Caenorhabditis elegans: one gene and its partners. The protein of the gene in region 3 interacts with the protein of the main gene of each other region in a pairwise test. Each region holds a gene or a part of one and is shown on either strand. Other genes may lie near its edges.

What was found.
Region 1: the proteins of F43B10.1 (region 3) and ZK121.2 interact in a two-hybrid assay, tested with the Caenorhabditis elegans proteins (one large-scale study listed by BioGRID).
Region 2: the proteins of F43B10.1 (region 3) and nphp-1 interact in a two-hybrid assay, tested with the Caenorhabditis elegans proteins (one large-scale study listed by BioGRID).
Region 4: the proteins of F43B10.1 (region 3) and meg-3 interact in a two-hybrid assay, tested with the Caenorhabditis elegans proteins (one large-scale study listed by BioGRID).

Annotation. Positions count from the first base shown.
Region 1 is NC_003281.10:5,338,408-5,345,774, forward strand, and holds ZK121.2 (R3H domain-containing protein), read left to right. Parts: upstream 1-3,274; 5' UTR 3,275-3,282; coding exon 3,283-3,486; intron 3,487-3,869; coding exon 3,870-4,201; intron 4,202-4,245; coding exon 4,246-4,386; intron 4,387-4,504; coding exon 4,505-4,913; intron 4,914-5,190; coding exon 5,191-5,709; intron 5,710-5,767; coding exon 5,768-5,839; 3' UTR 5,840-5,852; downstream 5,853-7,367. Other genes in the region: glrx-21 (Glutaredoxin domain-containing protein), read right to left, coding at 6,997-7,113, 7,244-7,367.
Region 2 is NC_003280.10:10,646,737-10,654,707, reverse strand, and holds nphp-1 (Nephrocystin-1-like protein), read left to right. Parts: upstream 1-2,451; 5' UTR 2,452-2,478; coding exon 2,479-2,547; intron 2,548-3,069; coding exon 3,070-3,168; intron 3,169-3,421; coding exon 3,422-3,564; intron 3,565-3,620; coding exon 3,621-4,149; intron 4,150-4,199; coding exon 4,200-4,430; intron 4,431-4,608; coding exon 4,609-5,108; intron 5,109-5,186; coding exon 5,187-5,299; intron 5,300-5,344; coding exon 5,345-5,580; intron 5,581-5,641; coding exon 5,642-5,770; 3' UTR 5,771-5,815; downstream 5,816-7,971. Other genes in the region: lact-3 (Beta-lactamase-related domain-containing protein), read left to right, coding at 19-104, 808-871, 1,071-1,208, 1,944-2,129; M28.10 (Flo11 domain-containing protein), read right to left, coding at 6,185-6,615, 6,760-6,844, 6,896-7,021, 7,082-7,192; M28.4 (Protein tweety homolog), read right to left, coding at 7,762-7,968. UniProt on the Caenorhabditis elegans protein: Plays a role in the extension of dendrites from phasmid ciliated sensory neurons. May be necessary for initial assembly of the cilium.
Region 3 is NC_003284.9:16,649,851-16,657,031, reverse strand, and holds the start of F43B10.1 (EF-hand domain-containing protein), read left to right. Parts: upstream 1-2,520; 5' UTR 2,521-2,548; coding exon 2,549-4,912; intron 4,913-7,181.
Region 4 is NC_003284.9:1,984,783-1,992,508, reverse strand, and holds meg-3 (uncharacterized protein), read left to right. Parts: upstream 1-2,901; 5' UTR 2,902-2,903; coding exon 2,904-2,961; intron 2,962-3,006; coding exon 3,007-4,528; intron 4,529-4,574; coding exon 4,575-4,685; intron 4,686-4,731; coding exon 4,732-4,878; intron 4,879-4,926; coding exon 4,927-5,061; intron 5,062-5,192; coding exon 5,193-5,482; intron 5,483-5,530; coding exon 5,531-5,856; 3' UTR 5,857-6,040; downstream 6,041-7,726. Other genes in the region: Y40A1A.2 (F-box domain-containing protein), read right to left, coding at 1,462-1,516, 1,563-1,639, 1,692-1,775.

The DNA of each region.
Region 1 (7,367 bases), on a different chromosome or scaffold from region 3:
AAGAAGGGCTTTTTTTGATACTTTTGATCTGAAAATCCTATTTGATTTTTGGTGGGACACACACTTTCTCAACACATTCAATTCTTGCTAATCCCTAAGCTTTTCTTTTCTTTCTGCAAATTGTTTTGAGCTTTAAGAAAATTTTGGCAACTTTTTGATAATTTCGGAAATTTCTGAAATTAATTTATCGATAGCTGAAAATCAATTTTGACTACTTTGGCAAGTTACTGATTTTCGGCAATTCTTAAATATGAAATTGTCAAATTTCTCACTTCAAGTTTGTTTTAAAACTTAGTAGCCGATATTCTAGAGTTGAAATTTCAACTTTCTTATTTTGGTAACCAAAAACCCAACCCAAGCCCTGAGCAATTTCTCTTGTTGTGTTTGTGTTTCTATGGTGTCAAGGGTAAATCCCTATTTCATATTTACTATGTAGTTTTTTCATGAGTTGTTTAGAAAAAAAAAGGTAAAGAAGAGGAGGAAATAACAGAAAATGGCAGAAGAACATAAAAAGGGAAAGAAAAACGGATAGAAAGTGAAAAGAACGAGTTCAAGAAAATAAAAAGTGGCGGAAGAGAAGGAGGGGGATCAAAATGGATCATTTTTGATTTATGAGCATTTGAGAAAATATTTCCTATGAGTCATAGGTTTCAAATCGGTTGCCGAAGTGCCGAACTGAAACGTTTGCCGAATTCCAAGTCTGAAGTCCTTGCCGATTTGCCGAAACCAAACTAAAGACGTTCTATGTACCCCGAGTAGAGATCACATGACTCACGAAATAATTGCTCACTCACCTGAGAAATGATCACCGGGATCCGCTTACGAAATTTTTATTCTTTGAGTTTATTGATGTTCTAGGAATAATTGAAGATCGGAAACTATTCGGCAACCCAAAATTCCAAACTCGAGAAACTTGGCAATCATGAATCAGCGGTAATTTGACTACTTTTTCTAACCTTTACTCTGGATCTGAATTAGAGGCCTACTGTCGACATCAAATATTCCTTCCAAAAAGCACTATGACGATCACGTGGAGGATTTAATCATGCAGAATTCATTGATGCACGTAGTTTTCTTATTTCTCGTTCAATGACCTCATTGAGTCGAATAACATCAGATTTATTTGAATTTAACATGATCTGAAACATTTCCCAATGCTTTAACATTTATCACGATTCTTGCTATTTTTGGAAGATGATAGTTAAACTTTTTTTAAAATGCTTTTTTGGGCTCCTTTTTCGAATTTTTGACGGAAAAAAAAATTTCCCCAAATTCTATAATTTTTCAATTACTCTGAGCCTCAACCTGTTTCATTTTCAGATTCCATTTCCACCTGCTTTCCTGTGTCTCTTCACTTTTTCCATTTCTCTCGTTGGGCACATTGTTAACGTCATTTGTATGAAACAAAGCTGAATGTAGACGAAGAAAAAACATCTGCATAGGCTCTTTTTGTCGATAATAGAATACAAGTATGAAACTCTGTGTCTCAAAGATAGAGTGGATAAATTTATTCATGTTCTGATAGTGAGAAATGAAAATTTCGAGTTAGTTTATACTTTTAGTATAGAGTTTACAACATAGCCAAATGGAGAAAACATATATTTGAACTTTGCAAAAAAATATTATTTATCTAACCAAAAGTAAACTACCGTATTTCTTCTATTAATATGGCTGCAATACTATTTTTCGATGGTCTTCCCGCTTGCAATACTAATAGGGAGTGCAAGACTATTAGGGAGTGCAATACTAATTTTCAGAACATTTTTCTGACTTTGAGCTTACTATTTTTTTCTGAAAAAAACTCGTATCTTATGTAAAAATTCAGAAAATTTGATTGCAATTGCAACAAAAAGGTACAATAACTTCAATTCCATAGAAATTTTACCAAAAATTTGTTGCAAAGTAGGCAAAAAATGTTGTAAAAATCTCAAAATTCAAAGGTGCAATACTAATAGGGAGTGCAAGTCTAATAGGGAGGCCATATTAATAGAAGAAATACGGTATTCTGAATTCCGCTCGTTAGTATCTTTTTATTGAAAGTTTTCAAAAGAGATTTATAATTTTCAAATAAAAATTCTAAGAATTTTACAATTCTTTCAAGTTATCAAGTTTTTGGATGTAGAACTACGTTTGCACTATATTTTCCAGAGATTCATACCGAAAAAGTTCTAAAAGTCAATTTCCGTTAGGAAACCTCACCTCAATTTCCTCCCACCCATTATTATTCAAGATGAGCACTCCCACCCGTGAGCCACCACAAAAACACATTATTTGGCAGTTTCTAATCCCCTACAAATCCCCCTTGAAAATGATTTTGATCTGATTTTGAGCTTTTCGCAGAAATAATTGGAAATGTTTGAGAAAATGGATGGAAACTGCATATTATCAGTGATATTTAGTTGTTAATTCATGCTTATTTAGTTGCCTGTTTCATAGAAAATTGGTGATAAAGTTGTCATACGGTAGGAAGTAGGACATGATTGGAAAAACTAGATTACTGTAATTCGAAGAGTCATTTTAAATTTAATTTTTTGAACTCTATAAGCTACTAATTTTGCCTAGGTTCAACAAATTTTGGGTCCCACCGCGAAGACTGGAGTTCAGTTTGAAATGTTAATTTTCATGTTTCAATGCACTTTTAAGCTATAATAAACGAGAGATTCCGTTACAAGACCCACAGTTGTAAAATTGACGTTATGTAACTTACAATTAGACGAGAAGATACATAAAAGTGGAAATACCGAATTTTTTTTTGAATTACTCGCAATAGAATTTTTATTTTTATTGCAAGAATACGCAAGAAACACCCGCAAATTGAATTATAACGGGCTTTAACTTCCTCCCTTCTTGCTTCCTCCACGTTTTCTTTGAACCTCTGCTTCACCTCAGATTTCTTTGTTTACATTTATTTGGTATCTCTTATCTCTGCATAGATAAAAGCTTGGAAATTCTTTTAATTTTTAAATACCTTCTTCTTTTTCTTATTCGAACTATTATACCTTTTCAAAAAATAGGCCTATTATGTATTTATATTCATTTTTATGTTTTTTATTGCGAAATTTCGTCTCGTTTTTTGGTTCTCAAAAGGCGGGGCTTAGCATTGAATGGGGGAGAAGGACATTCGTGGGCGGAGACTCTAAAGCAGCTGAAGCTTACCCACTGCTCCATTTTCATGCAAACTCTGCTCTTTTTTGGTAGTACTACTTCTTGAATCCTATTTTTTTAAATTCTCATCCTCTGCTTTTTCTGTGCTTCCAACAAAAACCAAATTTTCAGGTGTAAATGTCAACCGAAAACGACGTTTCAGAAGAGAATAATTCAGAGCTTGACGATGTTGAAGACGCAAAACAAGATGATCGGCGACGATCGACTACGGTAATAATGACAATGAATGTGACGACGGTGCCAGCTACAGAAAGTGAGGGAGTTCGGAGGAATGGAAGTGTTCGAAGACGACTTTCAAAACAGAATGCAACAATTGAAGAGGTGAGCAATTTCAAGGGAAGGTGGGAAATTGTCCCGCGAAGTGTCGGACTTCGAATATGGGTGCCGTTGCTGATGTAGTTCTTGTCCCGTATGGTGTATGCTGCTAAGGTACACAACTTCTTGAAGCCGGCTAAAAGTTATCACTAACCCGTAAAATGTCGGCTGCTTGGAGAATACATTATTTTATTATCATATTGATCAGCTCACTCTCTTGTGAATCATCAGAGGATGATCCGATTTTGTGTCATAGGCCGCGCTGAAAACTGAAATAGTTCCTGTTAGGAAGTCTGCTGAAATTCATATTTTTCACCCAATTTCGAAGAATGTTTGTAAGTTTATAGACAAAATCTGGTCGTTTTCGACTGAAATTTTTTAATTTTTAGCCAATATCTCTCCTGTCAATTTCTGATAGCCCATCAGAAAACTCGGATACTACGGTCCCATGCATAGAAGAGCATCCAGAAGAAGGCAAAGAAGAGGAGAAGCCAGCAGAAAGCAGTGACGTGTCAAAACTCCGCCCACCGGGTCTCGCACAGAATAAACTGTGGTCCACATCGAAATCGTTAAGCAGAGAGTCCACAGGAACCGAGTACTCGGACAGAAGTGGCATTGATCTAAGGAATTTTGTGGATCGCACGTTACACAAGAGTGAAGAAGATCGGAAGCAGCTTCTGGAGTTCGAAAAACAACTCAAAGAACTTATTTTAGATGATAGGTTCGTTTTTGTTAAAATTTCAGTCTGAAATTGATAATTTTCAGCACACAATCGAAAAGATTCGAGCTTCCATCATCCTATCACCGAATGCTTCTTCACAGGTGTGCCGCGTGGTTTGGTCTTGATCATAATGTTACGAATAAGCAGACCGATATTGTTGTGAACAAGTCAGAGAAAACCAAAATGTGAGTTGATTAATTTTCGGATGTATGTATCATGAAAATCATAATATTTTGTCTGTTTTAGTTTAGCCCCTTTATTTGGTCTTGTCAGATTTTAACTAGAAAAGTAACAAATTTCCAGTCCTGATGACAACTTCACCGACTACATCCGGCACGATAATTACGTAGAAGACCGACTGAAACGACAAAACACTTGCGGATCCCGCAAGGAACTTCACCATATGGAATCATTCGGTGATCATTCGACGAGTCAATATGGAAGTCAAGCAAGTCTTAATCATGATCTACTCATGATGCGAAGGGCACAATCATTTGACGTGGCAGCAGTCACTGGACCATCAGTTATTCAACCTCAATCTCCACATCATGTTCGAGGTCTTCCGATGCGACAACTTTCACTCAACTGCCCACAACAATCAATGGTTACTGCACCAATGAGTGGACCACAGGGACATCAATGGGCACCGCAAAGATCATTTGATTGCTCCAATAATAGTTATTTGTGCACTGGAAAACATCCAATGATGAGGGTGAGTATCAGAGTTCGCCTGAAAAATCGATTTTTCAAAAAAGAAACAGCGTCGAGTTTTACTTTCTCACGATCGCTAAGCTACAAGATTTTGAATCAATATATGATTGAGATTGAACGTGTGGCCGTCAATATCTGTGAGCTTCAGCCATGTCGATTTACGAGTATCTCTCATACATTTCATAAGTTTCCATAAGTTTCCGAGTTTCGAAAAATTTAAGATCACATGCCGTGGGCGCAAAAAACGCTTCTCAAACTCTAACCTCTAAATTTTCCAGAAAGCAGAGAGCTTCGGAGGAATGGCAAACGGAATATCACATGGCTGTTACGAGCAAAGTGTGCCAGTAGTTTGTGGAACACCTCCATCAGTGATGGTTCATCACCACCACCACCACGCTCACATCCAACAACCTCCAACCTCCAACTATACAGGCTATCAGGTATTCGAAGAAATGTCAATGCCATCATCAAACTACCAAGAGCCTGGAATGTGCTCCCCGGGAGGAACCTACTATGAGTATGTACCTCAACCAGTAGTTCAACCACAACAGTACGCTCGTCCAATTCGGTACATGCCACAAGATTACCGAAGACCTCAAGGAGTTCAGTATATGTATGGACCACCACCACCACAACAATATATGCAATACCAGCCAATGGTTCATCCGGAAGTTGAAGTTATTGTAGATCCAGTTCAAACTCAACCCTTTCCACAAGTCAGTCACTTTGTACTGCCTGATCAACAACAGGGATACTCATCAAGCCATCAAGCAGAGACAGCAAATAGTTTTATAAAGGTAAGGTTGAAGATGAGGAAATGAATTGATGGTTGTTGAAAATAGAACAACGATTTAGGCAAGCATTGATGGTGGATATGGAAGCATGAATCAAGACGTCGAGAATGCTGAAAAGGTCGAGGAGGTCTAAACCTTTCCCCCCCCCCCCCCCCCCCCCTCCCGTTGTCTCTTTAAATGGTATTTCTTCTTTCTAGCCATCCCCTTGTAGATTGTGATAAAACCCCACGAAAAGACGATATCGCCAAACATCTGGATAATTACGATTATATGAACATGATTCGAAGTACGGATTTTCAATTTTTTCTAGTCAACTTGTAGATTTCTTTCTCTCTCTCAATCCTTGTCATCTTTTTTTTTCTTTCGCTCTTTTGATATCGAATAAATTGATTTTCAATGCCGCTAAATAACCGCTAAACTCAATCATAAGACTTTGACATGCATTTTTAAAGGAGCAAGCATTTATTCAGAAGTGTCTTGGCACGAGAAAAGGTTCATGGTAAATAGCCATTGTTTAAATTTTTCGGCTGCCTCCAAGTTTACTTTCCTTAATTCCTTGCATTCTTCATTGAAATTACCTCGTCTTTAGAAAATTTTATGTTTTGTTTTCATTTTTCCGTTTAAAATGCTTTATTACGGGAACAAACAATTCTGAGAATGCATATTGCGCAACACATTTGACGCGCAAAATATCTCTTAGCAAATTCTACAGTAATTCTTTAAATGACTACTGTAGCGCTTTCGCCGATTTACGGGCTCGATTTTTGAAATTAATTGAAATAATTTAATTATCGATAAATAAAATATTTTAATTCAATTCGAAAATCGAGGCCGTAAATCGACACAAGCGTTACAGTAGTCATTCAAAGATATTTTGCGCGTCAACTATGTTGTTCAATACGCATTCTCAGGATTATTTGGTTCCGTAATATATCAGTTTCCCATTATTTTAGCCTTCAAATGCACATTTTTAACAAAAAAAAAGCTTTTTGTTAAAAGCGAAGTAATTTCGTTGAAGCATGATCGAATCAGCAGAAAAAAAACAACTACCATAAATTGTTGCGCGCCGAGACACATCTTAATAAATCCATGCGCCTTTAAGAAGGCATGCCAAAATCTTGCGGAATTACGATACACAAAGAAGAAATAGAAGTTTATTGGAAACAAATCTTTTCAGAAACAAAAAAAATTTAATACACATAAATCGTGGTAGGTGTGAAAACCTTCAACTACAATAAAATTTAGACAAAAACTGAAGAAAAACTTTTTTTTTGGAAATGGTGAAAAAGTTTATTCTTTCGGCGAATTCTCTCCCGTGCACTGAGCAATTGCTTCGAAGAGGTGTCCAGAGTTGCGGAGAGCATCCAGCTCAGTGTATCCACCGATGAAACGACCGCAGACAAAGATCTGAAAGAAATTTATTTGAAAAACTTTAAAATTCGGATTTTTTTAAATTTTATGGAAAATTCTATACCTAGCCGTTTTCAGATTAAGATTAAGATTAAAACAAATTTTGCAAAAAAAATATCTATCGAACCTGTGGCACACTGGTCTGTCGTGTAGTATATACAAGTCCATTGACAATTCCCAAATAATCATCCGGTTGAGATGCCTTCAAAGTGTCCAAATTCACTTCTTTATAAGCAACACGAACATCGGAA
Region 2 (7,971 bases), on a different chromosome or scaffold from region 3:
ATTCATGTCATTTTTCAGGATCATCCACTCTCACACATTGTCAAAAATCCATCATGGCTTGAAGCAGTCTCCAGATGTACGATCAATAATCCAGATTATCATCGGTACGAGAATTGCCCGGAAAATCGAAAAAAATGTGTTCAGAAAATTAATCATAAAATTCACGTTAAAAAAAGTCAAATTTGATGGAAAATACATGAGGAAACATATAAATTTATTCTTAAACAAATACAAATAACCAGCATTTTAAGATATTTTTCGTAAAATCGAATCGGAAAAAACGGAAAAAAAAAAAAAAAAACGAAACATTTTCAATTCCGCTATATTTCATTAAAAACTATTGGCTAAAATTCAGATTTCAGCAAAATTCGGTTCTTTTTTCGAAGTTTTAAAATATTTACACTCCATAAAAGTTTTGGCTTTTTTTGTGTAATGTCGCATTATGAAATTCGGTAGTTTCGAGCAAATTTTTGTATATTTACGCAAAAAATTCTGTTACCCAGATCCGAAACTTTGCTATTTTCCCCCAAAAAATACACTACCAGGTCTCGAAGCGGCCGATTTTCTCCAATGCCAAAATTTAAGGATTACTGTAGTTTCCAAATCCTCGCTTCTTTTTGGATTTTTTACGATGTTGCATGTGAAAGTATAAAAAAATAAATGAAATGTTTTAAAATGAGAATTCAGAAACTGCCGTACTCCTTAAAAGTCGCTTCGAGACCTATTGTCATAGTTTTGAGACAAAATCTCGCATCTGACCAATATTTTATGCTATTTCATTTTTTAAAATTCATGTTTTTTTTCCAGATTGGAGCAAGCTGCCGCACTTGGAATGGGAAATGCTCGTTCTCTTGCCTCACTTTTTGACAAGGTTTGTTCTCGTTTTTTTGATAAATTTATGAGAATTTTAAGTTTTTTTTCGTTTTGTTTGAACATCGTTATCAGCTGAAACTAGGCTGATAGCGAAGAAAAGAAATTTTTAAGTCGAACAAAAAAAAAGAAAAAGGAAATTTCCTTGTGACTGTTTAAAAAAACTGAAACAAAAACGATAGTTAAGAGGATTGTTTCAGGTAAATCGAGGAAAACTTCTCAATCAGGCTACACTGAACACGATAAGCAAACCGTTCGTCAACGAGAGTGATTTCATTTTTGATGATACTGTCGCCAAGGGACACGGATTTTTCCATTTGCCCATTCATAGAGCTGGGGTGAGATTTTGAATAATCGAAAGAGGGACGAGGGATGATGGAAATTTTGAACTGAAAAATTTTAAAAAATCCATTTTCACAATAAAAAAACCAAAAAAACCAACAAAAGTCTGAAAAAACTCTTAAAGAACGAAAAAGTCAAAATTCATCCAATAAAGCAGATTTTTTAATTTTTGCCAAAAAAAACTTTTAAAAAATCCATTTTTGCGAAAAAAAAAACCACTGTCCTTTTTCCCATAAAAAATTCAAAAAAATCAATTTTTCTCAAAAAAACCCGAAAAGTACCTTTTTGCTAAATAAACATAAATTAACAAAAATTAACAAAAATTAACAAAAATAACAAAAATTAACAAAATTAAAAATAAATTAAATAAATAAACATAAAACATAAACAGCCAAAAATTAATTTTTGCATTAAAAAAGACTGAAAAATCCATTTTTGTAATAAAATTACAACTGCCGAAAAAAGCAAAAAAAAAAAAATTTTGAAACCCCCAAAAAATTAGCAAAGGACCAAAAAAAAAGAGCCCAGGTGGTGAACAGAAAACGAAAAAACAGGAGAAATTGTTGAAAAACCATTAATTTCGAATTCATTCAAAAAATGAAAATGCATAGAAAAAATATTTAAAACCCTAAATTTAGCTAAAGAACCTGCAAAATGTTAGGAGCGTTTTTTTATTTAATTTTCAGTGAATTTTTTTAATATTTTTCTTTCATAATTCGCCATATTTTCAGACTCAATTCGGCTTCGGACATACCGGGCACGGATGCCAAATGGTCATCACAGATCTCAAGAATCGAGTGACAATTGCCTACGTCACAAATGGGTTGAAAACGGGACTCTACGACTTGTGCAGGACGTACTGGGGACTTCAGACTTCTGTATATGATGTCATCGAACAAATTAATATTCAATCATAATTTATTTTATTTCATTTTTTAATTAGTGATTCCATATAGTTTTAAGATATATCCCAAATCATCCCGCGTGTTCTTTGTACAGTCCGTTTTTAATTCATTCATTCCAAGTGTCGTTCTCTCAATGTTGAAGCTTCTTCCCCCGTAATTAACTGACCGAGTGACCCCACAAAATTGCATATTTATCTGCTCTCTCTCGATTTCCTTACTAATAAACCATCAGTTCACCAGTTTTTAACCACATTTGCGGGGAGCTGGCAGGTGGTAACCCGCAAGTTGCCAGGGGCAACGAGGGTGGCTTAAGGCAAGTGGCCGCGCGGAAAAGAGCTTTCCAGGGGGAGAGGAAAGCAGGATGTCCATATTTGGAAGCATTCTAAGTCTGCAGGATGCCATAAATCGATTTCCGCAGTTTGAATATCAGGTGGGGAATATTAATTGTTAACACGAATTTGAAAAGGAATTCGATTTTTTTCAATTTTTGGATTTTTTTGTAATTTATTTAAAAATTATTATTGTGAATTTTTTAATTTTTCCATTACACATTATTAAATAACTAAAAATTGAATTCGTGGTTTATTGTTCATTTCCAACTAAAAAAATCCCTTCAATACCCAAAAAGTTGCAGTGGGGCGCATTTTCAACGTTTTAATTAAATTTCAAACGTATAATTAAAACTGAGTCTCGTCACAACAGATTTTTGTTAAATGCGGAAAGGTGTGCGTCTTTAAAGAGTACTGTAATTCAAAATTCCAGAATTTTTTTTAAATTTAATGTACATATTTTCATCTAAAAACTATTAAAAAACTAAAAAATTCCTCTGCAACGAAAGTTTGGAATTACAGTACTCTTTAAAGGCACACAACTTTTCGCATTCGACAAAAATTGTCGTGTCTAGACCGTAAACCGTATTTTCAAGGAAAAATAGCAAAAGCCTTTTTTTCAGATAAATCGCCTCGAAAAAGAGCAAAAAGACACCGAAGCCGCGTCGAGAGCAAGTTTTCGCAAACATTTTGTCAGACAGTGCCAGGAATTGCATAGACAGGTAAAAATTGCATTTTCTCTATCTGCCTTATGCCTGGCTGCCTACGGGCCTACCTACCGCCCATTATGGGATCTCCGGTTTGATTCATAGATTTTAGGTCGACCAACTTTCTATTTAATTTCAATTAATTGTTTACAAACATTGAAAAATTGTTAGGCATATGTGTAGACCGTAGGCACTCTGGTAGGTAGGCATTCTCGTGCCTACGTAGAAGTATCATTCAAGGATATCAACATATGCATACAGTTTGCAGCTCGACGATCACCGAAATCGAATTGAAAAGGCCAAAACTGACGAGACCTACAAGAAAGAAAACGCTCTAGAGCAACTTGACAAGTTGAAGCAAAGATTGACAGCTTTGAGCCCGGAAAAGGAGCAATTATCGTTTTCTGTCAGGTAAAATTATAATTAAATTCAATTTCTCTAATAAATAGTTAAATATTCAATTCCAGTGTGGACTCTCAATCAGAAGAAGAAAAACCGAAAATGGCTGCAATTGGCCGCCGAAAAAGCACAATGTATAACGATGATGAATCAGAAGATTCTGATAATGATTCAGAAATTATTGAGACGGATGTTCAGCTGGATGATCCTCTTCCGAGTCAGCCACAGCCTCCACAGCAACAGCACCAGCAACCTCAACCAAAACCCAGACAACCTATCACAATTACAAAACCTCTTGAATCAAAGACTTTGAATGAACGTCAAGAACTTGATGAAGTCATCTCAAGGCTTCAGAATCCGAGTCGTGGAGATTCTGGAGAAGTTATGGAACCAGTTGTAGTCCGTGGCAATGTTTTTGTTGCAATTGACAGTTGGGATGCAGAAGCTGAAGGGGATTTGGAGTTAATCAAAGGAAAGAAGTATCGAATCACACAGACAAGATCCGATGGTTGGTGGACTGCACTGGATGAATATGGTCAGAGGGGTCTTGTGCCAAAGACTTATTTACAACATGTTAAGGAAAAGCCGAAGAATGTGGTTTGTTACTTTTCTCTAGTATCGTTAGTTTAATAAGTAGAAATTTTCAGCCATCAAAAGTGTCTAGTCGCCTCGGAGTTCGAGATTCGGTGATCGGAATATCTACGACTACTGATCCATCAAGACGAGAAGCAAACCGGCAGGCATCTCGAGTTGATGACTGTCTTGGTAAAGCATATGACAATGACACTCACTTGTCACTAGTGTGCCATATGGCTCCGAGACTATCAACTTCAAATATTGGATTTCATGATCTTTTTTGGAGTCATTACAAGGATCAGGTAAAAGTTTAAAACTTGCAGTTTCTACCCAAAAAATGCTACAGTTTTGCCAAAAAACCTCTGAGTCTTCCTAAAAACGGCTGAGAAAATTGCTTTAAAAATTTTTACTATGAATCATTTGCTACTCATAGCAACACATTTTTTGCTCACTTTCATAAATCAACTATATTTTTTGCAGGTTTACAAGCGAACTGTCCATATATCAAAAATTATCCGTCTAGTTCGATTTGAAAAGATGCCCCTAATCGAACACAAGGCACTTGTCAGAATGGCTCTTGTCGACATCACAAATCCAAAATCCACTCAAATTGTGAGCAACGTGCACACTCTTGTGCCACGTGTCAAATCTTCAACGTGGTACTTTGAGAAAAAAGAGAGCCAGACGAGAAGCTGCATCGAGTTTTCTGATTTTGTTCTCCGCTCAAACTATCGATCTCCGACAGTGGTACTTGTTGTGGAAGCATCTCATTTGGTGAAGACACAAATAGGAATTGAGGAAAAGAGTTTGGGACATACATATCTGCGACTGATAATTGATGATAAAGCAGTGCCAAGTAGAACGAATGTTTTGTATTTGGATGATGAAGTGATGACAAAAATGAAGTTGCCGGAAGCTTCGAAAAGAAGAGTTCTGGTTCAAGTGATGGATGTTCCCAAGGATAAGGTTTCATATGTGGAGTGAGTTTTGGAAACTAAGAAAGCTGAAAATCTGGATCCCTGACCTGACTTTAAGTTCAACCCAAATTATTTTTCCAGCTCCCTCCCCGATGTCATAGTATTCAATGCTCTTTATTTACCATTCTTCCACTTTTACCGCCGACGAGCTGGAACCATTTTAATTCGGGACAATCGGAATCCATTGAGTGCTGGTAGGATTTCATACCCACCCAAACAATATTTTGAACTAATTTCAGAATTTATATCTGACCCACTTCTCTCTGTATTCCCATTTGTTTGTGACCAGCATGACATTATGGATATAATGCTGAAAATTTGGAAAACCAAAAAGAAAGTGCTCGCCAAGAAAAACGAAGCTGAACAAACTGCCGAGTTCTTCCAAACTTTTCTACACACCGCGTTTTTTATTCATGGGATTCGAATGATTTCGTATGATGTCAAAGATGATCTTACTCTTTCGATTAGGCAACAGGTAGAGCTGCTGCTCTTGGAGCTCGTTTCAAAATCAGGCTTCGATTATTGTAACATTTCAGACTATGCAACGATTTGTGGATGCATTGAATAAGGGACTTTTCAAGCAGTTCATCGCAGATCAACAATGCAAACCAATCAATATTATCGATTATTCATTGGATCTTTTAGGCAATCATTCTATTGACTAATTTATGGAGATAAAATTAAGCTCAATAAAAAATTTAACTGTGTAATAAGTTCTACTCATCTAGCATCTAAGCATAGAAATGTTTCAGTCATTGTTTCAGTAAATTTCAAGTTTTGAAATTTTTGGTTTTGAAATTTTTGGTTTTTTTGTTTAATATTTGAATAATTTAGAGTCGACTCCCAAACATAGGAGTGGTAAAACTGAGCAATGGCCATTTTTCAGTTGTAAATTTTCACACTGTACCCTCTCAAAAAATGGATTTGAAATGAAATATGTTTATTCGCAATAATGAATAAAATTGGGCGATTTTTCAGAATCACAGCCTCATCGAATTTATTCCATTAAGGGGTTTTATTACATCATGAAATTCTGCGAGCTGACGATCAGGATGTGGTTCTGAGAAATCTAAGAGTTCCTAAACTGGCTTGCCGCTGATTACAGTAGCGGCAGCGGAAGAAGCTTCAGGTGCGGCGGTAGAGGCCTCGGAAGAAGCAGCGGTTGATACCACAGAAGCTCCACTTGCAGTAGTATCTCCACCAGCTGTGGATGCAACGGATGCATCGGTTGCTCCAGAGACAGTAGAACCTGGTGCATCAGTACTCACTGGAGCAGCAGTACTTCCACCAGTCGGCTGAGTTCCTTGAGACACGGTACTTCCGTTGTCAGTCACAGGGTTTACAGTGGAGACATCGCTGGCAGTTGTGGATGGAGCAATGGTAGACGGAGCAATAGTGCTTGGAGGTGAGAAGCATGTGTAGCTGGAGTTTACATTTTGTTGGAAGCAAGAAATTGAGTTGTAAAGCAATGTGGCGGTTGTGTTGGCGTTTGCTGATGCGGTAAGTAGGTCTGGAAATAAAATGGAATACGGGAAATTTCAAATGTGAGAATTGAATTTAAGAGCACACCTGGTCAGAAAAATTTACGAACTCCAAAAATATATGCATTAACTTAAAACTTTTAAACTACAGTACAGACTTCCTGCCTATTTACCTGATGCATTATTACTAGCAACTTGAACATTATCATTCAAGCTCTGACCAGTTGCATTGACCACTGTGAAGTTCGCATTAAAACCCTGAAATCAATTGCTCAATAGTCTAGAAAAGCTTAATTGGCACAAATTTACTTTTGTGAAGGCACATGCACCGGTGTCATTAAATTTCAAAATTGTGGAATCCAATTTTGAGAGACTTGAAGCAATAGTTGCAACTTCATTGTTCAGGGTTTGTTCATCGATAGCTTGAGCCACTTCCTGAACGATTTCAATTTGAGAATTTCAGTACTATGTGAAAATGTATTGAAAATGTGTCACCTTGGGAACCACAAGTTGGAAGGTACATTGTCCATTTTGGCATCCGTAATTGAATGATGAATCGAAGGCGAGCAGTGCCGGAACAAATAGGAGAAGTACGAGACGTGTCATCTAAAGGTAACAAAAACGATATACGAAAAAGGCAAAACATCAAGGCATTACATAACTTCAGGCAAATTTGCCTGGTAGGCAGAAAAGTCTAAAATAGATTCAGTTTTAAAATCAATTTAAATTTAAAATTGTATAAATTCGGTCTACCGATGGTAGTTGAAAAATGTAAAAACGGGGCGTTGGTTACAAGCCATCGCCGCATTAAGATAATAAATCATTCAATTTGGCACTGATAAGAAATGAAATGGAAGGAAATGGAAGCTGCTCGGCTACTATTTGAAAAGTCATGACGTCATTGGAATTGGAGGTGGGAGTTTTTAATAAGCGAACAAATTATTTGCTTGATCGTTTTTTTAATGTCTGACTAAATTTTAGTAAATTTTCTGAAAAAGTTAATAAAATATCTATTCGCAGTGATATTCTCAGAAGCTTTTTTCGAGCGAAAAGGAGAGCATAGGTCTTCAAAAAAGTAACACCATAAAACTGTCTGAATTGAAATAAAACACTTTATAATTCTATACAAACATGAAAATAAGGTACCGACAATTGGAAGTTTGCATAAACATCAATCACCATTTTGGTACAACGTCAAGTGTGTCAAATGAAGCCCTTGATGCTCTCTTTGCTGGAGTTTTCGGAGTTTTTGCCAATTCATAGTTAGTTCCTTCAGTAACTGTTGTAACTGACTCTGTCGGGTGCACACTGGCATGTGAACTTTCAGTATCCACTTTGGGGTCACTGGTGGACTTCACGGATGGTACAGCTGTGGAATCTTTCTG
Region 3 (7,181 bases):
TAAAAGATTTCATATCCTTCCCCTCTTGTACTTGACAACTGTTTTTCATTGACACTGATATCATCATTGGTCAAAAAGGCTTCAATTTGTAGAGTTAGGAAAAGAAACGTGTAATTATCTTTGGCTTCGCTCCAAAATAAACTTTATATAGAGCATGAGCCGTCTTTCTCTGTTTCTCCCTGCTTTTGTCCTACTCTATCACATAATCATAATCATAGTAGCAATCACATAACTTTTAGACTTGTTTTCATTATTTGTTTTCTTTTTTTTTGGTGGCATTCTTTTTTCTCAAAGATTTATAACAAGTCCTAGTTCTTAGTATCAAATTCTTTTTGAAAATTTTCAACTTTACTTGCCGGGATATTATAAAATGGTCGTTTTTAATTTGATTTTAAAAAAGTAAATTGAAATTTTTTGAATTTTTCTTTTTGATACCATTTAAGATAATTTCTATCCGGAGCAGCATTTTTGATATTTTTTTCCTGAAAATTAAAATGAACAAGATTTTTAATTTGTTGATTTCTGGAGAAAAAATGAAAAAAAATTATGAAATTTAGATTTTAGATTTCAGAAACAAACTTCGATAGATTTTATTCAAATCTGACTGTCAGTTTTTTGGAAAAAAGATTTATTTGAAAGATTTTGCTTGAAATCCTAGAAACCCTGGAAAATCGAGAATCTTTCAACAATAATTTCAACTCCAAACAGAAAAATCGTTGAGTGCTGCCAAAAAATCATACTTGCTTCTCTAATAAATATTTAGATATTTGGAAAATGTATCCTATGAACTCCTAACAAAATGATATCGAATTTTTTCAAATTTTTTTTCAGCTAGATTTGTTTTTAAGAAGAATTCCACTGAAATTTTGAAAAAAAATGACAAAAATTTGCAAAAATTTGAAATAAGATTTTAGGTACTTGTATTCTAATCCCTCATATTAAAAATGAATTTTTAAATAAAAACGTGTCGAGTTTTTGTATTTTTCGGCTTATAAACATTTAATCATTTCTAAGCCTAAACAGGGAAAATGAACATCACGTTTTATCAGAATCGGAAGATAAATGGAAGTTTAATTAATTTTAAAAATGCGGGGTTTTAATGCACAAGTACCAAATTTTGTAAATATATTCGCTCTTGATTATGATTGCTTTTATTCTTTAGATTGTTGCATTGTTTCCAGGATAACTCAGTCTCATAAACTATGTCCTCCAGAAAGTTTTTTACTGAACAAAATGAAACTTGCTTTGGAACTCCATAGGATCAATTCCTTTTTTCAGTCATTTTTCAGCCGCCGTCATCTTCCATTCCTAAACTTCGCTTTTAATATTTCTCCCGTTCAATATAAAAATAGTGAAACGTAAAAGGAATGATGATTAGGTGACCACGGATTGCACTTGACGAGTGCCCGATAATGATACATCGAGAGAGTGAGAGAAAAAGAGCAGGCGATCTAGCGACAGCTGTCGGGGGTCGTCGAAGTGTAGAAGGACGGACCTCTGAAATGAAAGCAAAAACGTATTCCGTCTCTCCTCGAGAAAATATATACTCCATCTCTTTCTCTCCCTCGCTCTCGCCGGGAGCCCCGTCTACCCGCTGTAACAATACCAGTGTTCTATCGGCTCGTCGCCGCTTTCGCCTCGAAAGTCTTCTCGAGGGGCTCGCAATTTATTGGCTTCTAGACCATTCAGCTTCTTCTTCTTCTTCTTTTTCTGCTTTTTCATTTTCTCTTCTTGCTGCTTCGTCTCTTTTTCTTTTTTACCGCCGACGTTCTGGTTGCACTCGCTCACTACTACCTGTCTTTTTTCGCTTGATCATCGTTTCATCTTTTATCCTCCCACTTTTTTTCGTATCCGCTTTTCTAGTTTTTTAGGATCTAGATTTTTGAATAGTGGTTTTGGTTTTTTAGCTTAAAAACTCCGCTCTAAGAGCTCTTTCAACCTTTTTCGTAGAATTAATGTTCAGAATTCTCATCATCATCACCATCTATCGTTCATTCTTTCATCACATCTTCTTTTCCAAATCTTCTTACAAAATATGTCGCTCCTCCTAAAGGAAAAGTTGTTACTATTACTAATCACTTCAATCTGCAGTTTCTGCTGGTTCAGGCCACTCCTATTCTTCTTCTTTTTCGCACTTTCATTTCAATCTATGTTTTCCCACTAATTGCTACCTGCTAGATACTGATCTATTATATAATTCTATTTTAAGTTACCAGTGGGTTCAAGTTCATTTTATAAATAAAAAATGCAATGCAAATAAAAAATTTTTTAAGTAGTATTTTTCCTCTCATTATGAATCAATCCTCCTTCCTCTATTAAATTTGATTATGATCCTATCTTTTTTCCTTTGTTACCTCTCACTCTGCCTCTCAAGTTTGTTTGATTTGTTGCGTTTTTCCATGTTTTTGTGCATTTTTGCTCCAACTTGCTGCCACCTACTCAACAGTTGTCCTGCAAAATATCTCGTTTCTTTGTTCTTCCCCCGCCATTCTTTTAATCTCTCTTCCAATTTCGGACATCTTTCAGTACTTGCGAGAGCAAAGGGTAAATGTACCATCTTGACGACGACTACTTCGCAAGATTCAACCAGCCGTCGTCCTCGTCAGTGCAGTTTCCATCGGAATCGTTACGGTACGGAGGCAGTGGTTTGGCCACTACAACCACGTTTGGTGCTGAAAACGACCCCCAAACTACTCGTTTCCGGTCGCAGTCGGCCGATAATCGAAGATCAGCGTTTCAACATCAGCCGAGAACAATCTCGGAGGATCACATTCCAGAGCCGTGGAATCAAGGACCACTTCGTACTGCTGAAGTGAACTTTCCGTCCCAACAACGAAGACCAGCTTCAACCACGCCCTGGTCGTCACATTCAGAGTACCACTCGTCACATAACCTGTCAGTACCCTCTTCCTTCTCGGAACACCTTCGCGAAAGATCGCCAGCCAGTGGCTCTGCACTTCTCGACTTACTCTCTCGTTACCCGTCTGCACAGCACTCTGTGCAAAACTCACCAGCCGTGCAAGCCTATATCGACAGAATTCACACGGATCGGGCTCCACCGACACGATCGTATACCTATCAATCGTCCGAATCTAACTTTCCACTAATTGAGTATTCAATTCGCCAAGAAGTCCCAAACGGTGTTCGATCGACAACTTCGGTTTATCAAAACGTGGTTCCAAACGGAAACGGATATCCGTCTCAACAAAGAGTGCAAACAACCTTCACCTCGAACGGTCCGGTAACTTCTACTTTTCATCGCGAATACCACAACTCTACCCCGCATCAATATCAGCACTCAAGTTCGCTTGGTGGTCCTCCTCTGCCACTTCCACGAGAGTCGTCATTGCAACAGCAGCAGCAACAGGCGCACCCGTTCGAAAATCGATCTGAGTTTCATCGTCATCCACCGCCGCCGCCGCCGCCATCTTCCTCTTCATCTCATCAATTTTACAACAACGGAGTACCCGCACTCGCCTCAAGTGCGTCGTCCGGAGGTTTTCGTCAACCCGTGTTTCACGACACGGATCAGTTGGATATTATTGCTCAACGTCTCCTTGATGACAACATGAGTCGAAGCACATCAGAATGGAGCAAATCGTTTGAACAGTTGCAGAATCGGTTTCAAAATTTGGAAAGCGATGACTTGTTGAGTCCATCCGCTTTTACGACCACTGGGTCAATGACTTTGCCACGACGTGGAGCACAGCTGCCAATTTCAAAGTCTTCAAGTAACTATGAAATGAATAGTTCGCTTCTTGGAAGAGCGGTTGAACGAAGAGCAGCTGAAGCTCCAGAACAAAGAAAATCCGGAGCATTGGATAATTTCTGGAGTCAAACCATCAGCTCGAGACCTTCTTCGCCAACAATTCAGAGAATTCCAACAAGTTTAACAGCAGCAGAACGACTTCAAATGTTACAAGAACCAATCGACACTGAAAAAAGGTTTACTCAGAGAGTTGGCAGTGGTCAAGGAGTTGCTGCAAGAAAAGCTGAGCTGATGAGAGAACCATCCGTCGAATACACCGAGAAGCCGAGAACTCCATTGAATCCAGCTTTTCCGTCAAATTCTTTCCTAATTCCAAGTTTCAATGAACTGGATAATGCTGTAAATGAACTCTCAAGAACTGTTCGTGGAAATACATTTGGCGGAACAACATTTGGATCCGTGTCACCTGCACCTGTTGTTCACAATGATTCTCTAAACCGACGAGTTGGAGGTTGCGGTAGATTTCCAACAGGTGAACACGCTTTTAGTCCCCCACCAATTGAGGTGTCTAAGTCTCCTGCTTTGTCACTTCACCGGAAGCTGCACTCTCCATCCCCAACAGATGAGGTCAGCGAGAGCTCTTCAGTGTATCAGATTCCAACAGGACTTCCGCATCCAAAACCGAAGCATAATGTGAAAGAACAACTTCATTTAGCTGGAATTCATACTCCTGGCTATCAAATTTCGCGAACCATGTATCGAAACGGACCGAACTTCCCGGTGCCCTCGACCGGAAGTGTTGCCTCTCGGATCACAGAATTCGAAAAACGACCAGGCACTCCCGTTGTGCAACTCTCGACCACAACCGTCAAATACAACGAGCATGTACCAGTTGCGGCGACCGCTAAAGCTGTACCGCAAACCAATGGCAATATGAGTCCACGGAGCGCGGTGTTTCGTGCCAAACCAGTCATTCACGTGGACATGGGCAGCACATATCAGCACTCGTCGCCGACACCGCCAATCCGTCATATTCAAGTGCATTCGGTTCAGAATCAGAATCATCAACCACTGCAAAATCATCAAAACCACCAGTCCTACCTTGGGAAAGAGCAACATAATCACTACCGTCCACAGTATCAGCAGCAGCCAATTAAACAACACGACATTGCGACCCATTCGATTTTCGACTTCAAATCAAACGTGAGTATTTTTTAGTTCTTTTTTTAAATCCTGATCTTCAATTTCTTATGAGACTGTGGGGTTTTGCTTGGCAAAATCTTGTTAGTGTACTTTCAATCATGTGGGAATAGTGCAAACAACCGCGAAAAACTATCGGGGCTTGTGTTCGGAGATGAAAAAGTATTCTGGATCTTGTTTTCGAGAGAAATGACAGTTTTTAGAACGTGTGCTCTATTTTGAGACGATTTTTGATTGCTGTTTCTATTAGTTGGTTTTTTTTTCTCAGACACCAAAAAATACTTACGTCAATCCTGAGAATTGCACCTTTCCAAAGTATAAAATAACATGTTTTTATAACTCCAAATGTAGTTTTTCCCTTATCTCTGTTTAGTTTAGGTGATCATTTCAATGAAATTTTTTTTTCATTAAAATTGTAACTTTCAAATTATTTGTTAAATAATTTCACAACAATTTTCTGCTTTGTTTTTGGACATTTTCGGAAACGAATACACATTTCTATGACGTCCATTCTCAAGAATTCAGTGTAAACACAAGTGTCAATTTTCGCTGAATTTTATTGTTTCAACTTTGCCTTGTTTGTCATGGAATTCCAGAATTTTAATAAAATTCGAAATAGAGTAGTTGAAAAGTACGATTTTTGATTGATTTTCCTATCTCGAGAAAATGTTATTCAATTCACCTTCAATGTTTTTTTATTACTACAAAGTACGCAAAATGATCTCAAAAACCAAATTTGCATAATGATAATACTTGAAATGTTTAAAAAAAATTCAAGTCCGGTCTGTAAAGGAAAATTGCTCACCTTTGATTCTGTTTTGGAAAAAAAGTTTTTGGAAAAATAATTCTCAACTCAGCTGTTGATTTACGTACATAAATTTTTAATATATCAATTTTTTCTTAGTAATCTCAAATTTCAACTGTTTCTAAGTTTCAAATCGCCATATCATTTTTTAAAAAGCAACAAAATTCTTTAAAAGTCATTTTGAGTATTTCAAAAGTATAAAAAGTGCTTTCAACATCTTCGTTATTAATTCCAATTTGTAATAAAAATTTTCGAAACATCTCAATAAATTATTTAGTTTGACCTTATCACATTCTCCTAATTTTTCAGCAAATATGTATTTAATCCTGTTAAAATTATGATGTTGTTAATCTAATTTGACTTTCTGATCGATTTGTTTTTCCAGGCTAAGCCCCCAAATAATTCAGAATTATTTATTTGGCTTCCCGAATATTTTCGAATACACACACTTATTACCAACGGCTAAAATATCAAATGTTCTCCTTGAATGCACGTGCTGCCGAGCAAAAAAGTACTTTGAACGGATAGCGTGGTGAAATGAGATCACCCAACATGCATTTCTTTTTGTATTAGTCCTTAATCCTATGTAATCCTGAAGAATATGTCAAAATGTTTATTATAATGATTGAATCCGATTTTCCTGTTTTTGTGGGCATTTAAGAATTTATGAATATGAGGCTTCCCCTTAAATGTTTTGAATTTCTGATTTCCAGTCTGTTTTTCCATAGTTTTTTGAGATCGTCAGAAAAAAACTTGTTAAATAGGCCCTGCAAAAAAAGTATCTCAAAAATTGATGTTTATTAAACTGAAAAAAAATGTCGATCTGAAAATTTTCCAGAAAATTATTTTACTAATTTTAAGACACAAAATTAGTTTTTCTTTCAGATTTTTTTTATAGGCAAACTTTTTGAAATGTCTTGAAGATTTTTCAAATTTAAGACTTTTGTTAGCTAACACTACCAAATTAAGCAGATTTTCACATTGCTCCCATATTTAAAATAAAGTTTCAAATTTCAGTTTTGACTTGAAAATTTTCGGAATGATTTTATTTCATGTTCAGAGAACCGAAATGTTTCTCGCTGAAATACTTTTTTGTAGGAACTAGAATTTGCGAGACGGGAACTTCAAAACTCAAGCTTGAGAGTTTGAAATCAAAACCATAAATTCAGATAATAAAAACATTTTAACAAAATTACAACTCAACCTAACGAACATTGTCTGGCTAGCCAGATGATGGTTTTAAGGGGGACAAGCGGCCGAGTCTAAGTCCCCGCGAACGATTCCCGCCCGAGCCCTTTTTATTTATTTTTGGAGGCAAATGTGATGCTGCTTCTCGTCCTTACCTCCCTCCACCTCCCCCAACGCTTTTCTTGTTATCATGTACATTACGATCAACTACCGTTTGTCTTTGCAAATGTTCCTTCTCGTTTAGAGCCTAGTTTTCAATGATCTTTTATCGATGTAGGA
Region 4 (7,726 bases), about 15 Mb from region 3:
AGTCTGGATATATTTTCATATCCCATTGCTTTGCAAAACCTTTTTCAATTCAGTATTAAAAGATGGAAAATGGACTATTGAAAACAAAATTGCTTTAAAAATTTGTTTTAAAAAATCACAAAGCTTTTTTTCCAGATGTCAGAAATTTTACATGGAGTATTTTTGTGAAATACTAAAGGAATTACAAGCCGGATTAAATGTTTGAAAAAAGGCCAAATTATGTGTGACTGAAATCCCTAAGTTCGCCATTTTGTGGTAGTAAAAAATTAAGCACAATAAAAAAATCAAATAACTTACCAATAGATTTTAGGTCGACGTTTCGGATGCCATGTATAGTTTTTAATACCTTTCAGGATTTTTTCATACATAATGGGACTCATTCTGCTGTGCAACCGTAGTCTTCGGAGGTTCGGCAATTTTCCATTTAACCAATACAATACTATGTTGTTTAGATCCAATTCTTTGATTGAATGTACACATAATCTGATCACTTCACAATTCATTGATCTTAAATCTTGTAGTGTGATATTTTTGGCGTGGTAAAATTCTATCTCAGGAACATTGTAGATCTGAAATGAAATATGATTATAAGTAATTGGGATTTTTTGCAACTTCCTTACCAACTCTTTATTTTCGAAAAAGCATTGAATGTTAAGTTTTTGTTTCAACTCAATCATTGTCGTCAACTCGTTCATATTACTGGTTGATAAATTTTCATTTGGACCACCAAAAATTTCCACACATTTGCATTTATTGAACATTGGATGACTTAGTGTTGGCCGATAATCGCCGAATAACTTCTCATGGCTGATCAGTAAATCGAGGTTTTCAACAAAAAAATAATTGGTCAATAGAATTCAAAATTTCGATCAACTGATTCGGTTGGTCGTAGCTCATTGTATTGAATTTTTTAAATTTCGAATAGTCACTGAAAAAATTACAGTTTTATATGGCGATGCATGAGAATTGTTTCAGTAGAGTTTTATTTACTTGGGGTTTATATTAATTGAAGATTAAAAAACGATCTCGACTTAAGTGCTATGCACTGCGGAACTGAGAGTCAGGTACACTGCCTGGTCATCACTACCGACTGAGCAACCCCTCCGGTCTAAAATTTTTGAACTACCGTGAAATGTTAAAACATGGTTAGGTAAAAACTTTTTGAAAGTTTTCAAATGTTTAAGGTCATTCAGACTAAACAAATCACACATGTTTGAGAAAAAACTAGCAGAAAAATCAAAAAATTACCAAAACGTAGAGATGCAAAAGTTGGTAATGCTGATTGAAAAAAGGTTTGGATATCTTAAAGTCAGTAGTTTACCAGACTTAAAAGGATAATACATGTCTTCTGAAGTCTCTATAGCAATCACTTTGCTTGAAAATAAATCACTAGGATTTCGGAATGGTGGTAGATCAACATGGAAAACACGGTTGTCGATAAGAAGTTTGTAGATTTTTCGATTAATTTTTTTTAAATCTACATCTGGTTTCACCAGAATTTTTTGATAGTTCTATTCTGAAAACAATAGACATTTAGATAATTAAAACCTACTTCAACTCACACTTCAGTCAACTTCAATTGATGTATAATATTCCGAAATGCAGGATACGGTAAACCAAGTAGGTGAAAGGGTTGAATCTAAAAAATCAATAAAATTAAACGAAAAACTGTAAAATACATATGTTCTTGCCTTGTTTGACGGGGTCCTGATACCTCGACGTTTAAAAAATCTCAGACAAATAAATGAGGAGAGTTGTGAAATAAAGGAGCTCATACCAAATGGTAACTCAAATATGTAATCGAAAAAAAAAAACACTGAGCAGACTAACGGAGCAGGCGAGCGTCTAAATGGTATAATCGATACATAGAAAGTGGTTATAAATCCTCCAAGTGTGTGACATCATACATTGTGCACAATGTAGCAGTAGCTATAGTAGCAGGAAATTAGTAACATTAGATCTATCCTGTTTGAAAGCATCAATGTCGATGAGTTGTTTTTTAAATTAAAAAACCATCGAGAATAATTTGAAAAATAAAATATGAATAATCTGAAGTCCCAAGGAATACCAAATTTCTACTTGAAGATTCTCAGTTTTTGTAACTTTTTAGAAGTCTTCGATCAAAAAAAATCCTTTGAATAGACATTTTTTCATATTTTTATGAATTAATAATGTTAAGAATCCTTATTAGTTTGGGATATCCAAACATTTTTTAAAATTTATGTTAAAAAACAAAAGATTTCAATGTTCTATATAAAGCAGTTTTTATTACTTTCCAGGTACTTAGTATTCCTATATTAAAATAATTTTAAAAAATTTCAAAACTCTGCACAAATCCGTTTTTGGAGCTATTTTAACGACCCTTTACATCTCGTTTTCAGGAATTCAGGATTATGTTCCGCCGTTTCTTTTAAAAAGTTTGAGATAAAAAATTATTTTAGTTTTGATTTTTCGCTTACAGGTTTTCTAATTAACATCTCCTTTACTGCCTATTATCCTGTTTCTTTTTATAAATTTATTCTTCTCATTTATTATTCAGTGATTATCCAATATTTTAGAGAATTAACTATCAATCCAATTGTTCCTCAAAACTCCATAGTCTTGGATAGTCTTGAAAACTGATCGATACCATGCAAACGGTGTGTGTTGTTTTGTTGATTCCCTGCCGCATTTGAACTATTTTTTCACCGCGCGCACGCATCGCCCCTGTCCGTCTCGCCACACACTATTTCCGCGCGCTCTTTCTCTACCTCTCACACTCTCTCAATCTCCCTAACTCAAGTGTTCATTCTTGTTGCGTGGTCCCACCGGTTTGCATTTTTTCATCTCTGTCTTTCTTTTTCGTTGTATTTTTTTAAATTTCATTTATTTCAATATTTCATTAAGTTTTGATTTTTGCAGGTATGAGTTCCTCAAAACCTTACCCAAGCGGTCTGCCAAACTCGAGAAGAAAAAGAGGAGGTGAGAGTTTTTTGCATCAATTTTTCATTCAATTTGTAAATTCAGGTCGCCGCTCAAGTAGTCGTAGCAATCAGGAAAGTGCATCCAACAACATGGAACACCAAATCACTCTTGACGAATTGTTCAATCCGATCGCAAAACAAGACAGTGCTCAGTCAACAAGCCGTGAATATGGTGCAAAATCGGGGATATCTCATCACGGATCCGTATCATTCAACGGGAATACATTCATGAATGGCCAACAGCTGAATCACTCGATGACTCGACATGGTCGAGTATTCAATCAGTCGATGCATGCAGCTCAAGGAAACGGCAGCAACGCCTTTAACAGTATTCCTCCTACGGCCCCCGTCTTCTCTGCAGACTTCCGCCGCAACTTGCAAACACGCAATAGCTCCAGCTGGTATGAACGAAGATTCCCAGTATCCACAGATCAGGACGACGTTCAGCAATCAAACACAAGACGTAGTAGAAGTCGTCAGAATGGACAACATGGCCTAAGCTTCTCGGATGGTTCGAACAATTATGGTCACGCTGGGAATAAGTCATTCAGTGTGAGTTCCGTTCCCGTTGGGTTCCAGAAGCAAGAAAATAATTCTAAGAAACTGCGACAAACCAATGTTCACCAGCAATGTCTTGGAAATAAAAGCTTCAACGCTCAAGCTGGAGTTCATGGACACGCTTTTAAAAAAGGCCATAAGGACAATAAAAATGCATCTGGAAAGGAGGTTATCAATTCTAGTCTTGTCCAAAAGCACGATGCTATTAAGTCGCGGAATTTGAACCAGAGCTTCTCTGGATTTCCTACACATGAAACCTCATCGATGAAAAATCAACAACAGAAATCAAGAAACGACAGAAAAAAATCACGTGGTAGCAGCAACTTCCAGGATCGTACTTACTTCAACACAAATGACGATGAATTAACTGACGATGTGTTCATAGACGATTCCATGGATGCTGCCCGTGGTCGGAGATCTCGATCAGTCACTAAGAAACTTCAACAATCGACTTATTCAAAGCAGAATGCAGGCAGTAAACAATTGACTGAAAAATGCAAATCTTCTGAAGAAGCGGCTAAACGTAACCTGGTATCCAATGTATTCAGCAAGGACGGCACTGAACTCTCCATTGAACAGTTATTGGAAATTGTCAGCATGAAGATCGGACAACAGATTCACTTGCCTTCCAGCTCTCATGGAGAATGCAGCAATTTGAATCGGACATTACCAGCAAGTGATCTAAATTGCTCAATTGGTGAAGACTTTGACTCCAGTTTTGTGGATGCTAACAACCAAACCCTACCAGTGAGTCTTCCCAAGAAAACTTCACTGTCGATCAAGCGCCGTGGAAGTTCTCGTAGTGCCTCCCGTCTGGCCAGTCTTGATGTGACACTGGAAACTGTTGAAGAAGACGAGGAACCCACGCCAAGTCCACAGCCGAGTTCTCCTCCAAAGATCTCAAGAAGAAAGTGGACAGGAACTTTTGATGCCAACGTTGAGGAAATGAGACGTTTACTTCATGGGGACCCTGAGATGCCGAAATCTGCAAATCGTGCTTCCTCAAGGTATGTAGTGAAATAGTAAAATCTTTAGTAAAAATTTAAATTTCAGCAAGGATCAGATCAATCGGAACAATGTGGATGTAAAGAGAACACCTTCCTCGTCAATCATCCCAACTCCAAAGGCTTTGATCGGAGAAAGATGTCTGACATCATCCAGCAAGTTAGTTTTACACTTGGAGCTTCTTATTTCATTATATTTTTTACAGGTCTTCAAAGTTGAACAAGTCACTTGGCGTGGTTGATTCTAAAGCTACAAAATCACCAATGTATTCCGTCACAGTTTCTGGAAAAGAAACAGCTTCAGGAAAGCGAATTGCTCAAAAGTTGACTCCAAAGGTTGTGGCGCTGGAAAGGTATGACTTTACAAAAAACGAACAACATTTCCATATTTTCTTTTCCAGCTCTTACATTACCGGAATTCCAGTTTCCACGGATTGTAATGGTTGCCCAACTCCGAAGAGAAGTGGAATCAATTGTGAAATTCGTGCAGCTGAAGTATACAATCAAGCTGGGAAATGGCCCTTCGAAATCACCAGGTAAGGTCCAAGTTAATAAATCCGCTATCGATCAAGCATATGGAAAATAATGTACAAGCTGAAAAGATTGAGCTCAAAACTTGATTCAAATCCTGTAAAATTATTTTCTGAGTACAGTAAATTTCTTTCAGTGATCCGGCTCCACTTCCTTGTGAATCAGCCGATCGGATCGAATATCCTTCTCAAGATTGCACTCAAGATCCAGCTTCAACCTCGCCACCACCTCGCATTTCTGAAAGCTTGACAGCATTCCTGGAAGCTCAGCAAGACTTTAACGACTACATTGATACTAACTACAAAGAAAAGACACAACTCCTGAAAGTGAATTTGAATATTCACGGGATGTCACCTGAAAGATGGCTGTACTTGAATTATTTTTGCACCGAGACAATTCCAAGATTGGATGGTCCTTATGCCGATGGTAAGAAAGATAAGACATATTTAATCTTGAAAACTTTAATTTTTTCAGATCCAAGAGTTCCACCTGTGCGAAATATGTTCAGAAAATGGTTCCTCCGTTTTGCTGAAGCCTGCTTAGGAAATCCTCACCAGCTTGCAGTTATGCAAGAGATTGCTGCCACGTTTGTTCAGGCTCGGCTGGACGATACGAGCAGCTCCACAGACTCCACCAATATGCTCTACATGTTGTGGAAGGAGTGTATCGGACAGAAGAATATCATCGCAATTGCTGATGCGTGTTTACTTGCACATCTTCGGAAATCGGATCCTATCAAATACTTGAATGTAAAACGGGATTGGCTGGAATCTATTTTTGACCCACCCAGAGATCAATGATTGTACCAATTTATATCTATTACTTGTAGACTATATTGTATGTTATTCTTGTTCATTAACCCTTTATCCACTCTTGTTATATTTCAACTCGCTTCTCCTTGTGAATTTGTATTATGTCTACCCAGATACTTGTAGAGGGTAGTATTATATTGTTGTCTGGATGATTGATAAAGAATTGCCGATTCTTTAAGATTTGGAGTGGAACTAGAATAAAAGAAAAGTTCGAAATAGATTTAAGAAAAGATGATTGGTAACTGATTTGAAAATATACATATCTTCTCATAGATCTTTTTTGTGAAATTTAAATACTGTCATTAGGCAAAATAGTAGTCACGGATTCAATTTTAAAACAGATGCTTCAGATTTGTTTGGAAAAGTTCCGTTTTTTAATACAGGGTGGGCCATAATTATGCGCACTACTTTGAAGCTTCATAAAACCAAAACAAAAAACACATTAAACAAATAATCATATAGGTTTTGTTCTCCGAGAAAAACTAAATAAGATACCATTTTTGAATTCGAAAATATCACCGTCCGCATTGCTACAGGCCTTCACAAGTTTCGGAAACGCACCAACGATGGCGGACAAGTAGGCACGCTTCAGGGTTTTTCATGTTTTTCTCGGAGGACTCATTAGTTATCAAGTAAAATTTAAAGTTCAAAGAATGCTCTTGATTCAGAGATGCTTCACACAAAAAATCTAAAAGATTGATATTGTTAGGTGACAGTGGCAGCTGATTGAGTATCGAGTACTGTGAAATTCAGTCAAGGCCTAAACGAAGCTTGTGCGCGGAAGCACTGACATGCTAAGAAAATCATATTTGTGTTTTTAGTTATTATTTTTACCCAAGGTTTCATATTTTCTTACGAATTTGCTCATAGATGATTTTGCGGATCGGTGTGTCTCGTGGAACAGAAAAAAGTGATGCGAACTAATGGGACGGTCTTTAAAACACACACTATTATCCATCATTATATCCATCAGTGTTGGCGCATAACCACTTTTGCTGATTCAAAACATACGTAACTGGTTCACAGCTACTTAAACTTCATATTAATGCTGAAAATCAAAATTTTTTGGAATATTGGCCGGTGGTACAGGCTCTCCGCCAAAACACCACTTTGGTAGAGGGGTGCTTCAGATTGTCGTGGTTGTGGAGAGTGCATCTTGTTGAGAAACATATTAAATTTTATGTCAAATGGAAGATAATCATCCCGGCAACCAGAATAAATTAAAAAATTTGAGACATGACGTGGCAGTCGCGTAAAAAACTACAGTAAATAGGCTAGAAACGAGTGCGCATAATTATGGTCCACCCTGTAAAGTAAAAAATCATGTGAAACATCTGGTAGCAAACAAATAGTTGAAAAGCATACTCCAGGTTGACAATTTTCACAATCAGATCTTGTACATACGAGCATTAAACTATTAGTTTCAGTTGTGCTGTGAAAACTCAATTTTCACTACAAAAAAGAACACGATTTCAAAATATATTCCTAACTCTAATGCAAGAAGTAGCACTCAATTTGAAATCTCACAAATTTTGACCAAAGATCTTCTCGAAATTACTTGCAACCACACCAACTGACAAACACTGAGAACAAACACTGGAGAGCACCTGTTGTTATTCCTTGCTATTTCTTCGTTTGTTGTAAGCTCGGGGAGTTTTACCTCCATACTTCTTTACTTTTTTTCTCTAAATGTTTTTTTTCAAGATTAAAAATAACCAGCAACCTAATAAAATTAATTCGACTGTTATTTTAGTTGAAATTTGTGTCTTCACACAAGTCCGAACTCGGAGACAAAATTTTTGAAGTTTCATAATCTTTTCACAGAGAAAATAAAACTATCAAAATGCAAACGTGAACA